Linked DNA regions of Drosophila melanogaster. The protein of the gene in region 3 interacts with the protein of the main gene of each other region in a biochemical or structural test. Each region holds a gene or a part of one and is shown on either strand. Other genes may lie near its edges.

Region 1 (3,848 bases), on a different chromosome or scaffold from region 3:
GTTTACTTGAATAATTGCAACGTGTCGACTTTGCCGAAAGAACTACTAGTGCGCTGGGATAAACTTAAGGCTCTGGATCTTAGATTCAACCCGTGGAATTGCGACGAATCCAATGACTTCTTGATCAACGTCTTGATAGATCGAATCAACAAGACCACGCCCGTTCTGGCCAAAGATGTCAAATGTGGCGGTCCGAACAAGTTAAACGATGTTACGCTGCTCAGAGTGGCGAATGAACATATGATAGAAAGTTCGACGGGCAGTCTTATATGGGTTGGACTCTTGGTTGTCCTGCTCATCGCGGTGCCGACCATCATTGGTGCTTACGTGATGAAGAGGCGCGGCTGCTTTGGCGTCTTTAGACGTCATGACAGCGGTGCTAGCAGTGCTCTCTATAATAGGACTAGTTTCAACGAGGATTTCCATATTTAACTTTCTTTTTGTATAATAATTAAAGCCTTGAAGCCTTATTATTCTGTTAGAGCGCTGGTAATTTGGCGTAAATCTGTAAATACACTTACATAAATTAAGTAAACGTTGATTGTTTTACACCCTTAGTTTTATTTACGGCTATTTTGCTTTAGATTAGATACCAAGATCTCTTGTTTTAAAATTCTTAGTTAAAGTCAAACGAGAATACCGAACGTTAATTTCGAACTAAGCCCGATTGAAAACCATTGAAATAGGGATGCTCCAAAATGTCCTTGGCGGAAATGCGATGAACTGGATCGTAGATTAACATCTTTTGTATGAGATCAATACCATTCGCATCGAGATTCTTTAACTGATTGGTCAATTGGTTCGTGGACCAGCAGGGGAACGTGTTCTTATAGTCGGGTAGCGAAGTAACGCCCGGCCAAATGTCTTCGGTAGGTGTTTTCAGAATTCTGCAATCAATGAGTGTGAGTATCACAGGGAATAGAAAGTAAATTACCTGTGGTTACCTAAACATTCTAAACAACTGGTCAATTTCCGAGTCACCCTGGAATAGCGGCTTTCTCGTTGCCATCTCCGCGAATATGCATCCAATGGACCAGATATCGACGGGACAGGAATACCGGGGTGAACCCAGTAGCACCTCCGGCGCTCTGTACCACAAGGTAACAATCTCGTGCGTATAAATGCGCACCGGAATGCCAAAGGATCGGCCAAGTCCAAAGTCGGCGACTTTTATGAGGCCACTCTTGTCGATTAGTAAGTTCTGCGGCTTAAGATCACGGTGAAGTACTCGCCGACGATGGCAGAAAAGAATGGCGCTAGTTATTTGGTACAAATAGCTACGGACCAATTCACTCTCCATGTGCTTATCAACTGGCAGCGAATCCATGTATTTCTTGAGGTCCATCGATAGGAATTCAAAGATCAAGTATATGCGGTTCTCCTCCATCAAAACATCCTCCAAACAGACAATGTTTTCATGTTTCAACTCCTTAAGCAACGAAATTTCTCTGTAATGGATATTAAATATTACTACATTATAGAAAAAACATGTGATTAAAGTATTTTAGTTATTGGTCTATCAGTTGAACCAGAAAGTATTCGCAGGCTTCCAATTAATAAACATAAATAGAAAGTATGATGATGTACACATGAGCATAAGTACGCATATAGGATTGTACATACACACACATATGTATGATGAACATAAGCCGTAACATAATTATGCTAGACTTCCACAGTATAAATTAAAAACAATATTGCAAAATCTTCAAACCAACCCATAAGATGTCAAGGAACATACTTTCAATTAAGCATATAAGCCATTTGAATGGAAAAGTCGCGAAAGAACATGAAACATTTTGAGGCTTGGGCGTCCAAGCCGCGGCATTTTACCTGATCGCGGTTGATGGAACGCCTTCGTCGTCGGACTCCAAGCGGATTTTCTTCATTGCCACAATTTGGCCCGTCAGGCGGTTGCGACCCTTATACACCACGCCATATGTGCCCTCGCCAATCTTCTCAATTTTCTCAAAATCCTCCATAATTTATTAAGCTATTTCTTTGCAAGCCACCGACTTTTAAATTAGCGCGTTTTTGACGTATATGCTCTAGTATTACCAGACAGTTTAAACGATGCTAAGCTAGCTACATTTATTCATTTGGAATGTGGGAATGAAACTCAATATTCAGGCAACTTATTGAATTGCTGTATCTTAAAAATGTTGTTAATTTTTTTAAAGTTAATTTTAGTGTACTGTAAAATTCCACGCTTTTTTTTATAGTGATTTCAATTAATTAAGACATCACTTTGTTTGAGTTCGGAGACAAACGTTTCTGCTAATATACTATTAATTAACTTATGAGTTTTTGGTGCAATTAATTTCTATTTTATATCTTTTGAAGGTGAGTACCAGTAGTACGGTACTAAAGAAATTAATTTAAAAAATGTAATTGGAATACCGCAACTGTTTTACTTCATTTTTGTTGTTTCAAAATTACTAAGCTCTTTGTCGATATCTTGACACACCTATATGCATGCCGCAAATGTGCATAACATATATATAACATAGTTTTTTTATTTTTTGCCGACACAGCAGACGATGTAAACATGTCGCTTTTAGGTAGGATTGCAGAGAAAACTTCAAGGCTCAGGTAAGTTAAACTTCTCTAAAGTGTTACTTATCTCTAAAAACACAAATGACTGATCACCCATTTGTTTATTGTAGCTGCCTTCGATTGATGTCGGTGTATCCCACACACTATGTCGAACCAATTGTACAAAAATATAAACAACTAGAGCAAAAGAATGATCTGTCCAAGCTTTACCATGTGCCCATCAAGGCGGCGGTCAACAAATCGTCTGATACCATCTTTCACGACGATACAAAACATAAAATGATCAATTATATAACGAAAAAGGGGAACAGTGCCTTGGCCAGAACGCTTTTGTCCAAGACGCTGGAGCTAATAAAACGAACCCAGACGGAGCACATGAATCTGGCCAAAGGGGAGAAGACAACCATAAACACCAATCCCGAAACGCTTCTGAAACAAGCGGTTGAAAACTGCCGACCGCTCCTTCAAGTGACCGCCATAAAACGTGGTGGTGTCACCTATCAAGTCCCTGTTCCCATCACCACGAAGCGGTCATATTTTCTGGCCATGAAGTGGCTCTTGGAAGCTGCCCGCGAGAAGGAGCGTAAGGTGTCCCTGCCGGAAAAGTTGGCCTGGGAGATTCTCGACGCAGCCCATGGCCAGGGAAGGGTCATCAAGCGAAAGGACGATCTGCACAGGCTGTGCGAAAGCAACCGCGCCTACGCACATTACCGATGGAGCTAAATGCACAACAAACTGTTTTTCCAATGCAATAAACTTTTCATATACCTGTTAATATCTATGATTAGGATTTGTGTCCGGGGAATGTCTTAAGAGAGCGGAATATCGAAATAATTCCTGGATTTATGGGGACTAAAAACGAGGACCTTAGTAAAATTGTATGAAGCTATGATACCATTATAAAAACACATTTCTAATATTTTTTCTTTATTTTTCCTTATACGTTGTTTATAGTAGATTTGAAAATTGGATTTTCCAAATGGTGTTATAGCTATTGAAACCCAAAGTTTTTCTTATTACACTTATACTAAGTTTTTATATAAATTTCTTCAACCCATTTACCTGGTTCGTCGTGTTTTAAGCTTCTGAATTTAATTTAAAATTATAGCACAGCTTAATAACAGAGTCTACTCTTTTTAGAATTTTTCTATTTAATTTCAGTATAAAATGCAATTTTATACAAATAAATTATCCTGATTGTCTCAAAAACATATTTTTTCAAGTGCAAAGTTAAAAAATGTAACCTGTTTATCGCGCAACGACAACGGTGTAAACAGTGCGTTAAGGTTGTC
Region 2 (6,876 bases), on a different chromosome or scaffold from region 3:
GGGCATGCTTATCGTGGACGTGCCCGCCGCTTGGTCCAGCAAAACTCTGCCTATCGTCCAAGCTCTGGCCGGAGGCACACTCTTCTACGTCACCGTCTGCGAGGTGATACCGCGCGAGAAGGCGCGCTGGCACTCGAACTCAACGCGACGCTGGGCGGGATTTGCACAGTTTGCAACTGTGCTCGCCGGCTTTGCGACCATGTGCATCATAAACTTTTATCTTTCTGGTGCGTAGCATTATGTGATTTGCATTTCCCTTTCGACATTGCTGACCTATTTTCTTCGCGCCTTTTCAGATGAGGATTAGACATCTTTTCGTTGAGAAATCGTTTCAGCGCTGTGAGAAAATGTGCCGCTTTTTAAACTTAGAACACTTAGGATAATATTATGGATTGGCAGCTGTTAATCTCTTGTGTAAGACTTGTTACTTGTGCATTTCCAACTAATCTTGTTTTAGGTACATTGTCGATCTGCCGTAGGATAAGTAAAAAGTTCAGTCTTCTCGTCTACATTTATATTTTCTCTTTCTCCAAAGTTTGTGTTATTTTTTATGCTTTTATTATATGTAATAAACCTTACAATTAAGTTGTTAATCAAAAAAAGGGCATCCTCTTTTCCTTTTGATTAATCTTACTTAGCCAACCATTAAACGCAATCATTTTATTACTTTCTGGGGACATCATGTCACTGTTTTAAACGAATTAAAACAACATCTATGTAACTACATCTCTATATGTATGTAAATAGGCATATGTGTATATATATATATAGTGTTTACCTAATCGTGAAATGTTGCTTGGTTGCTCTATTGGTGGTGTATGTGTGAAGAAACGGACACTCATAAATAGCTAAATGTTGGGTTGTTTGGTCTCTGATCTCTCATTTAAGGTCATTTGGGGAACTCCTCTTAGATTTACGATTTTCATGCTAGCAGGGCAACATACTTGGGATGGGAGGGGATTTACAATTACGTGAGATGAGTAGATTAGATCTTATACACTTAAACCAGTGCATATGCATATCTTATCATTCACCTTGATCTTCATTAACAATTTAATTTACAATAGAAACCGAAAATTCGCGCCGAGCTCAGGTGCGTTTATCTGCTGACCTGCGTTGAATCGCCAAACTTAGAACATAAATAAATCTAGTAATTATAGCTCCTCCTTCGCCGCCGCACTAACCCCATTCTCATCCTCGTCCTCATCGTCGTCACCCCATTCGCTAATGAGGCTCTTGACCTTGTCCACGCTGGCTGCTTCACCTGACGTTGCTTCATCACCTGCTTTTGCACTTTCTAGTGTCGGCTTTTCTGCAGTGGTTACATCCTGTGTCTGGTTTGGTTTGTCCTCGACGGCTTCCTTCTCGTCTGCCGTTCTAGTATCTTCATTATTTTCGGCTGCTTTTTCCGCTGCTGGTTCATCAATCTCCATTTGTTCGGTAGATACCTGCGTAGGTGGCACCAGGTCATCCTCGTCCGTTACTGACCTATCTAACGCCTCTGTCGTCGCATTCTCTTCAGATTGAACAATGTCCTTCTCCTGATCAGGTTTCTCGGCCTCGGCAATTAACTCATCTAGCAGCTCTTTGCGTATGTTATCGGCCTCTAGATGCACATCATCCTCGCCCTCAGAGGCAGTTACCGCCTCTCTTAATTCCGCCACGGAATCGGAATGCGGAATTGGTGAATCCTCTTTGATAAATTCCTCTTGATCGTTTTCAAGCTCAGCCTCTTTCTTGATCTGGACCTCGGCCTTCGAAGCCTTCTCGTCCGCCGCTTCTGAGTCCACATCCATTTTCTCGGGCTGACTATTTATATTGGGGACTGCGTCAACTGCATCGTCCGCACTGGTGACAGACTCCTCACTTGCCTTTTCTTCAGTTGCCTCTTCGGGTCCCTTGTGTAGAGACTGGAGAGCCAAGTCAATATCATCTTCTTCCTCGTGTACTGTTGGCTCAGGGTCCTTGTTGGCTAGTTCGGATGCAAGCTCTGCGGTAGCGGGCTTATCGTCGACATCGTCATCGTTCTCATCCTCCGTCCAGTCGCCGGTAAGCTCCTTTAGCTTTTCACTAATGTCATCTCGCGGCTTATCCGATTTTGGCTGTAAGTTGTATGACTCATGTTGTAGATGTACTTGCATAAAAGTGTTTAATAAACTCACCTCCTTGTTGCTCTGTTCTTCAGACTCGGCTATAAGGTTTTCGGCCCATTCCAGGTTGTCAATGGACTCTTTGCTTTCATCAGCAATGTTCTTTTTGGCGCTCTCCACAGAGTCGGCAGCACCCAGTTCGCTATAGATTTGACTGTCATCATATTCCTCTTCGGTGCCGGCCAGGGATTTTTCATCGGTCTCCTGCTTGACGTGCTCCGCTTCTGGCTCACTGAGCACCATTACCACACCGCCGGCAGTGGCGCCTGCTTGCTGCTGGTTAAGCTGTGAGAGAATCTCTTTGCGCTGCTCATCAGTAAGCTCCACCTCATTGCCATCGGCGCCCACGAATTTGACTTCCTGCTGCACCTGTTCAACATCTTCCTCTTGCAGTTGCTCCTGTTGAGCTTGCTGCACTGTGATGGCACTGGTGGCTGGTAGACTTATGTCCGAAAGGATTCGCACTTTGCCAGTCTGCTCTGGTTCCTGCTCTTCGTCTCCTTCGGCCTCTTCCTCCTCGTCTTGCGAGCCGAGGAATTCTTCGTCCGTTTCATCGATAATGCCATCCTCCAAAGCCTGCTCCTTGTGGTAGCTCTTCATGTGTCTGTACAGCTGCAGCTCTTGCTCGAACACCTTGTTGCAGTAGATGCACTGCTGCTTGTTGTCGTCCGTGTGCACCTCGTTTATGTGCGCCTCCAACTCACCCTTGGTCCGGTAAGACTGGTTGCATAGCGCGCACTCGGCAAACGTATACAGCAGCGACTTGGTCTGGTGCTCCATATACATGTGGAAATGCAGTTCCCGGTTGTTGACAGACCTCCACCCGCAATGCTCACAAAGCGCCGGATCAATTGTCTCCTTGTGCGTGTTGATCAGATGGCGTCGGAAGCCTCGGTACGACGGAATGCTAATGGGTCGTCCGTTTACGCCGCATCTCAGGCACAGCCAGGGCCCTGAAATATAGATATTCATTAGTAGTTGTTTTTGGGAACCTATTACCTACAAATGTTGTACTCACCAGTAGTATTCTCTGCTCCCTGAGCGATCAAGGCGTGCATTGTCTTACTATCAATGCGTCTCTTCTGGGCTGCGGCTGTATTTGCTGGTGGATTCGCCCCGGTTCCCTGGTTACCGGTTGTCTGCGAGGTTCCCGACTTTTGCTGAGAGCTAGCCGCCTTCTGTTGTGCTGTGATTAGTGGCGTACTCTTGTCGGCTTTGAAAGAAACGTGCAGTTTCTTGTGTGGCGATGTAGTTGCGGATGACTGGTTCGCCGGGGGTTTTACTGTCGCTGGAGCAGATTTTTCGGTCGGCGCTGCCGGGGTATTGGGCATAATCTTTAGCTTTATGTTTTTGTGGCCCTTTACAATGTGCGGATACTGGCGCAAGACTTCGGCAATGATCTTGGTGTGATTCAGCTTGGCGTTGGAGGAGTCCTTGACAATTATTGTTGGGGTCTGGCTGGGTGAGTCCTGTTTCAAGATAATGGTGGTGGATCCATGTTCTAGTTGGGTCTGTGTACCCTGTGGGGATTGCTGCTTAGATGTAGATGGCTGCGGTGGCATATCATCGTCATCATCGTCCCCGGCATGGACATCATCATAAAGCATTCCTCCATCGTACTCAGGATCGTTATCTCCGTACTCAGCGGCGATTTGCTTTCGCATCCGTTGTTGCTCAGCGAATTCCTTAACCTCTTCCAAACTGGGCTTCTTGGATGGCGGCGATAGCAGGCTTGTCTGTGCTGGTCTCTTGTTATTGTTATAACCCTTTCGCAGCTGCTCGAATGGTGACGTTGGCTCCTGCTTCACATTGCTACTATCTCCATACGGCGAACGATTTGAGCCACCTGATGTTCGGCTCATTGTGTTGCCAGTTGACCCGCGCTGTGTGTTGGCTCGTTGCGCGATGGGTGTGGCTACGTTTCGCGATTGCGGCGAAGGACCCAAGACGCGCTGTTGTGGAAGACCCGAACTGGGCTGTCCAACTGTGCGCCGGCGTATTCCCTTTGGACTAGGCGGCTAAAGAAAATAAAAGGTTACAAAATATTTTCACAAATGATGAATTGCCACCACTCACCCTTTGCTGGCGATTAACGTTCTCCATGGTGCGACGGTGCGCCTCTAGCAGCTTCAACAGCACCGTCATGTTCATTTCCTTGGCGGTGCGCAACAGCTTGCCGTACATTTTAAGCTCAAACTCCAGGGTGCCTGTGTACATGAAGTTGACAATGGGCACCACCACGTCCGCCTGGAACTCGTTGGGCATGATGAGGGCATCGTCGACGATCTCGCAGGTCTGCTCCAGTACATTGAAGTAGTCGGTGCAGGCGCTGAGCACCAGACGGTGTACCTTTAGCTGTGAATTGTCCCGAAACTGCAGCGTCAAATCGCAGTAATCCGTTTTATTAAAGAAGTTCTGCAGCTTCTGCAGGAAGAAGACTCCCCAGTTGTCCACTTTCACGGACTTGACTTCACCCATATTGCTGTGTGCTTGGCTAGTGGCCGTGCTCTCCGTTTCCGTATCCTTATCGTTAGCCTCCCCGTGGTTTCGCTTGCTCTGGCTTCAGGGCGCAACTGTACTCACGCAGGGGTAAGGAGTCGGAAAAAGCGTATTGGGATGGGACGCAGGTGAATGGGTAAAACAAGAAAGAATAACAATTAGTAAGTATGGTATATTCCGCTGTTAGTTTCAAATAGACGCCCGTTGATTTTGGGTTATTCGGTTTATTTTGCTCTGCCGCCACGGCGCGAAATGCAACTCGCAAATATCGATATACGCCTGTGTACGTGTGACAGTTTCGCGGGCGTATGTGTGCGATGTGCGCGTCGCCAGGCTTCTTGTATTATTTATCAGTAATTGTTCATTGTCCGCAATTCTGCAATGTTTTCTTGTAAGTCCAACTTTGGCATCTTTCGGTGGGTGGCATTTTTTGAGCCCTTTTGGCGCGCCTGTCCACTTCACACAACAATGGTTTTTTTGGGGCACGCACAAATCACTTTGACCTCAGCGGCTTGTTTACTGCGTGTCCTTTGATTGAATGTACTTTTTTCAGACAATCGCCGCACAATTGCACTTTTAATACATACATTTCTTTGAATTGCACACTACTTTTGCCGGACAAATTATAATTTTTTTCCAGAGTCAGGTCGCCATATTCTTTTCCATTCATCGTTGGCGTGACAGGGTTGCGCTCGGCAGCTATCGATAGCCATGCGATAACCTCAGTCTCATGCTTAACATTTTTAAGGTGACGTAAACGCAGATGAAGTTAATCGTTAAGTCTAAAAATATTTGAATATGATATACTTTAAGGTTATTGCAGTTTAAGCTAAATCTTACTAAACACAATACATATACTTAAAATACTTTAATAAATATTGTTTTGCAGTTGAAAACAAAATACATTTACTTAAACTATTGAAATTTTGAAAAGTGACATCGTAATGTGTCACATTTCTTGCGCCACCCTTCTTTGCAATCAAAATATATAAAACGGGTCGTCGGCTTGGCCACCACGAGACGTTAAAAACACTTTGATTCTTTTTTGCTTTGATAAAGTTTTAAACCAAAACATAATGAGTGGACGGAACCGCGGCAAAGGAAAGAAGGGTGGAGGAGGACCCTACCGCAATGTCAAAGCGAATCACAATTGTGCCCGCAGCTTTGCTCAGCAGGCCAACGAGCTGGCCAGCAGCAGTAGCAGCGAAAATGAAAGTTCCGACTCGGAATCCTCGGGAGATGGAGCCCAAAATGATCTCGGCCAGCCGCCGGAGTTTGCGGTGGCCATGTGGGACCTCAACCACTGCGATCCAAAGAAGTGTTCGGGCAGGAAACTGGCACGCCTAGGACTCATTTCAAATCTTCGACTGGGTCAGAAGTTTCCTGGCCTTGTCCTCTCGCCCGTTGGCCAGTTGTGTGTAAGTCCGCTGGATCGCGATGTGGTGGCCTCTTCGGGCGTGGCCGTGATCGACTGCTCGTGGGCCAAGCTGGACGAGACGCCCTTTGGAAGGATGCGCAGCCCACATCCGCGACTGCTGCCCTTCTTGGTGGCCGCCAATCCCATCAACTACGGAAAGCCCTGCAAGCTCAGCTGCGTGGAGGCCATAGCCGCCACTCTATACATCTGTGGATTCACGGAAGAGGCTCGCTGGTTTCTGGGCAAGTTCTCATGGGGTCATGCCTTTCTGGAGCTAAACGACAAGCTTCTCAATGCCTATGCAGCCTGCAAGAGCAGCGATGAGATTGTTAAGGTGCAGAATGAGTACCTGGAGAAGGAACAGCAGGAGCGGGATAAGCCTAGGGATCTTCGCGACTTCTATCCCACCAGCAGTAGTAGTAGTAGTAGCGAGACGGAGACCGAGGGCGATGATGAAGACACAAAAGCGAAACCGAAGAACTAATACAAGGTGCTGACATTTATTACCTTATGACAAAACATTTTACTTGTGTTTTAATTTACAATTTGGGAGCAAATTGAGAGCAACCACCGAATTATTGCAAACTGTTTTGATGAAATATTTACTTCAAGTCAAGAAAAGATTATTGCTTACTGTGCATTTCGCACGTACTCGGGATCAACGTTGATAAAGTTGCTCATGCTGAAAAATATTGAGCTGTTCTTTACGAGGAATTTAAGGAAATCCTGCACGTGCGTGAGTAGGTTCTGCATGGACTGCTGATCCAACGCAGAGTAGCTGAGCATTGAGCCAAGGCGGACAAACAGACG
Region 3 (3,935 bases):
ATAGTCTTCCCGAACAGAAGCGAGTTATGAGCAATAATGTGAAGAATCTCTGGGTGGATTTCGTCAACGATCTGCCCGTTAACGAGTTACTGGTCAGCAAGGCAGAAAACCGTCCCAATCTTCACGTGGAAAGCCAACTGATCTTCACCCAGCCCCTCACTGTGGGTCACTACGAAGCGGGCAACGGAAATGGGCTGCTGGATAAATATTACAAGAAAAAGCGGGGTGTCGAATCGAATGACATTCATGATTGGCAGCAGCTGCAGGAAAATGTGGCAGCTATTAAAAACAGATTGGCCAGTATGTTAAAAACACATTAATACAAATTCTCCTTTAGTCATGTGCATTAAATTCAACCAACAGAGCCGCCTAAAGTGCTGGAAGGCTTTGCTGTGCTGCAGAAATTACCTCATAAGGCCTCGCACATGAAGATCATCTCCGTGGACAACGAGGACGTACTGGCCATCTGGGAGCAGATGCCCAGCGAAGTAGGGACTACTTACACATGGCAACCGGATATACATCTTTTTGGGCGAAGTTCAAGTAAGTTATGTAGATTTATTTGCATATAAACGTATTTTAAAATCAAGTAGCATATTCAACCTTAAATAGGGACAAATTCGAAATCTCAAATATTAGAAATACATTTTAAATTTAGCTTTAAAATTCATGCGTAAATGCTATGAACACTCATACCAGAACTGTGAGTAAATACATTTTACAAGTGGGCGGCACAGAACGCAGACGTTTGAACACGGAAAAAATAATACGATAAATACGAGAAATGGTTCAGACAGGCCTACTACATAACTACCTTTTTAGTTTGTCTAATAAGTAAGCTGAGTAATCATTTAAATTGCGAGTATCAGTCGGTCTACTGCTCCAGTTCGTCGCTCTGCACATCGAGGATGGCGCGCAAGATGGACAGCTCCAGCTTGGCGGAGGCACGCGAAGAGAGTCTGTTCATCACATTGGCCACGTACAGCCCGAGAGACTCGTGTCGCGACGAGTTGCATAGATTCTTGAAAAAGGTTGGCGGCAGCGAGTTGTCAAAGTTGCCCAGGTTGATAATCTCGGGTGTATTGGAGGAGGCGGCGTTGATCTTCGGCCCGAAGATAATGTCATTCTTAAAGTCCAGCTCGTCGATGTGTGGCGAAAAGCCGTTTGTGGAAGCCACCGAGGTGGAAGCAATGGTGGCGGCTGTCGATGAGTTCGCTCCCCCACCACCACCGTTTATCTGTTGTGCCGATGGAATGGTGATGATGTTGATACCCGGCGGTGGTGTCTGGTTGTCCTCACGCTCCTTCTTAACCTGCATCAGCTGGGCAGTGGTTGTGTGCACCACATTGTTTCCCGCCGGCAGTTGATCTGGAACGCTGGTGTGCACTGAAGTTGCGGCTGCCGATGAAGCGGCTTGTTTCGGGCTCGTGGTCTTGGTCTGCTTTTTTTGCGCCGATGACGAGGTGTACTCCTCCGAAAGTTTGCGCTTCAAAGAATCTGGCAGCTGAATGGTGGTGCGCGAGGAGCTTGATCTTTGCCCACTGGCTGGCGCCTGTTGCCCAATAGCCGGTTTCGGTGCTGCTGCGGAGCTGGGCGTCTTCTTCACAGTAATTCCCTTCTTTTGCAGTACTGCTGCGGCGGCGGACAGCGAGCTACTTCGCGGTGTGTTGTTAGCCAGTGTGTTGAGCAGCTTTTTCTCCTCGATGGCTGGGCGAGGAGTGTCGACGTTGGGTTTGGCGTACGCCAACCGCTCGTCCTTTTCTGGCGAACCGGTGCTGTGTGACTTTGTGGGGCTTTCGCCGTCGGAGGACGCCGAGCCGGTAGAGTTGGTGTGCTGTCCGTACTGATGGGCGTCATCCTCGTCCTCAGGCTCCTGCACCTCCAGCATTTCGTACTCCTCCACCTCCTCCATGGGTACTTGATCACTGCAGAATAGCAGTAGAAATTTTGTTAGTGTTTCACGGTTAGAGGACTATTTACGCCACTTACTTCTCCTCCTTGATTGAGATTTTAGGCTCCTGATGGATCTGATGCATCAGACTGAAGAGCTTCCACGCCGAATTGCCCTTTAGCTTTTCCTGCTCGTACTTCTTTTGGAGCACTATGAAGATGGAGCGCGATTCGTGCACAGAGAGCTTGTTGAGACGCCCGATCCTGGCCCACGCCTCCTCCTGCTCCTGCTTGCTGGCGCCGCCATTGTTTGGATGCAGCACCTTTTCTTTGGCGATGTCCTGCAGAATCTTGTCCAGTTGGATTGCCATCTTAGTCAGCGACTTGCGGCCCGCTGGTTGCGCGTTCCTGATAATTTTGGAGGCTGTTTTGATAACACGCGACACACGAATTGGTATATGTAACTAGGATCCGCTTGTTTTTCTCTCCGCTTTCGCACCGTTCGCTTCTCTTTTCTTCTGTATTTGGCGTCGGTAAATTGGCGGAAAATGTGACCGTGCAACACGCAAATACTAGAAATGCCGCCTTTTGGTACAGTAACTTAGGGATGAGGGAGATTTTGGCAACATAGATGTTCACAGTTCACAGCTCTCGATGCAGTGAAAATTAAATTTTTATATATTATATTTATCACTATAAATATTAATACTTGCATTATTTTTACTTATATAACAATTATAATGTTTCTCCATAAGGAAAAGTTATTCATTTTGGTAGTCATAACTATCGAAGGAATGGTTTTTGTTTTGTCTTTTTCTATTCTATTCTCATACTTTATTTATTTATTTTATGTAAGGATCCTTACATATCGATAATTCTTAATACCGCTAATTTACGGTAAAACTACCCGTCTATCTTGCTGCCGATAGGGACAAACAAATAACGCAATTTATATTGCAGATGAGAACTCCACGAAATTTAAATTTTATTGAAATACGTTACAGTTTTCGCCACCTCACAACGCCACGATATTTACTTTGTCCTGACCACCTATGCATTTGACCGTTTCCAAGCGCGTAGGCCCATCCGCTCCGGCTGGACTGCTAACCATAAAGGGGAATTCGGCCAGGCCGTAGCAGGCAGCGCCATAATTACCCAGCCGATCTACGGCGATGAGAGCACCCATGAAATCCTTGTGGTGCTTGAGAATGCGGCGAAGGCCCTCTTGAGCTGCCTCAGCCGGAGGTTTTCCCGCCCGCATGGTCTCCACCGCTAGCAGGGAGGGCAGGAAGCGCATCATCACATCTCCATCTCCGGTTGCCACGGCTGCACCCACCTCGTTGTCTGCATAAGCGCCAGCACCCGGAATGGGGGAGTCGCCGACCCGTCCGGGAATCTTGTGCCGCGCCCCGTTGGTGGAGGTGCCGGCGTGGATGTTGCTTTCCACGTCGATGGCGATCATGCCGATGGTATCGTGGTTCTTGCGTCCGATCTCATACTCATTGCGGGCACGGTCCTCCTTCCAGCGGGTCAGCGGAGTCGGCCGCGGCTTATACGGGCCGCAAGAGACCTTGGGATCCGGGTGAACGTTCTTCCAGAAGTTTGGCTGGCAGTTCTCAGCCGTCCACTGTAACCACATGTCCTTCGACTCCGGCGTGACCAGCGACTCTGATTCGAATCCCATAGCATTGGCGAAAGCTGACGCCGCATCACCCACCAGCATGGTGTGCTGCGTGTGTTCCAGAACATGCCGGGCTACCTTAATGGCATCCTTAATGCGTCGCAGACCAGCCACTGCCCCCACATCCATGGTGGCCCCGTCCATGACCATGGCATCCAGTGTGGTTTCGCCCAACTCGTCCGGCGATCCGCCATAGCCCACCGTTCGGTCACACTGGAGTTTCTCACACTTCGAGCAGCCCTCCACTACCGCATTCCGCGTCTGCCGGAGTCCACCCTTGCTTTGCTTCAGGATTCGCCAGGCGAGCACATTGGCAGCCGTGAAGTTCCAAGTGTTAATGACCATGGGCAGCAGCTCACCCGTC

What was found. Proteins that work in one complex are often made in the same cells at the same time.
Region 1: of the proteins of Map60 (region 3) and Cdk1, one has a biochemical effect on the other in vitro, tested with the Drosophila melanogaster proteins (one study listed by BioGRID).
Region 2: the proteins of Map60 (region 3) and Cp190 form a complex in vitro, tested with the Drosophila melanogaster proteins (one study listed by BioGRID).

What each region holds. Positions count from the first base shown.
Region 1 is NT_033779.5:10,384,196-10,388,043, forward strand, and holds Cdk1 (Cyclin-dependent kinase 1), read right to left. Parts: upstream 2,068-3,848; 5' UTR 1,983-2,067; coding exon 1,834-1,982; intron 1,449-1,833; coding exon 945-1,448; intron 888-944; coding exon 647-887; 3' UTR 544-646; downstream 1-543. Other genes in the region: CG5096 (uncharacterized protein), read left to right, coding at 1-432; mRpS7 (mitochondrial ribosomal protein S7), read left to right, coding at 2,549-2,592, 2,667-3,279. UniProt on the Drosophila melanogaster protein: Plays a key role in the control of the eukaryotic cell cycle. Required for entry into S-phase and mitosis.
Region 2 is NT_033777.3:15,269,889-15,276,764, forward strand, and holds Cp190 (centrosomal protein 190kD), read right to left. Parts: upstream 5,354-6,876; 5' UTR 5,237-5,353; intron 4,903-5,236; exon of another isoform or gene 4,724-4,902; 5' UTR 4,629-4,723; coding exon 4,227-4,628; intron 4,169-4,226; coding exon 3,169-4,168; intron 3,104-3,168; coding exon 2,163-3,103; intron 2,103-2,162; coding exon 1,155-2,102; 3' UTR 544-1,154; downstream 1-543. Other genes in the region: Zip88E (Zinc/iron regulated transporter-related protein 88E), read left to right, coding at 1-227, 297-307; CG4338 (uncharacterized protein), read left to right, coding at 5,726-6,550; MRG15 (MORF-related gene 15), read right to left, coding at 6,697-6,876. UniProt on the Drosophila melanogaster protein: Plays a central role in chromatin domain organization and boundary function through recruitment by a range of insulator DNA-binding proteins, including ZIPIC, pita, CTCF, su(Hw), cliff and others.
Region 3 is NT_033778.4:9,589,355-9,593,289, reverse strand, and holds Map60 (Microtubule-associated protein 60), read right to left. Parts: upstream 2,424-3,935; 5' UTR 2,262-2,423; coding exon 1,990-2,261; intron 1,926-1,989; coding exon 875-1,925; 3' UTR 546-874; downstream 1-545. Other genes in the region: CG1827 (uncharacterized protein), read right to left, coding at 2,906-3,935; clos (closca), read left to right, coding at 1-300, 364-543.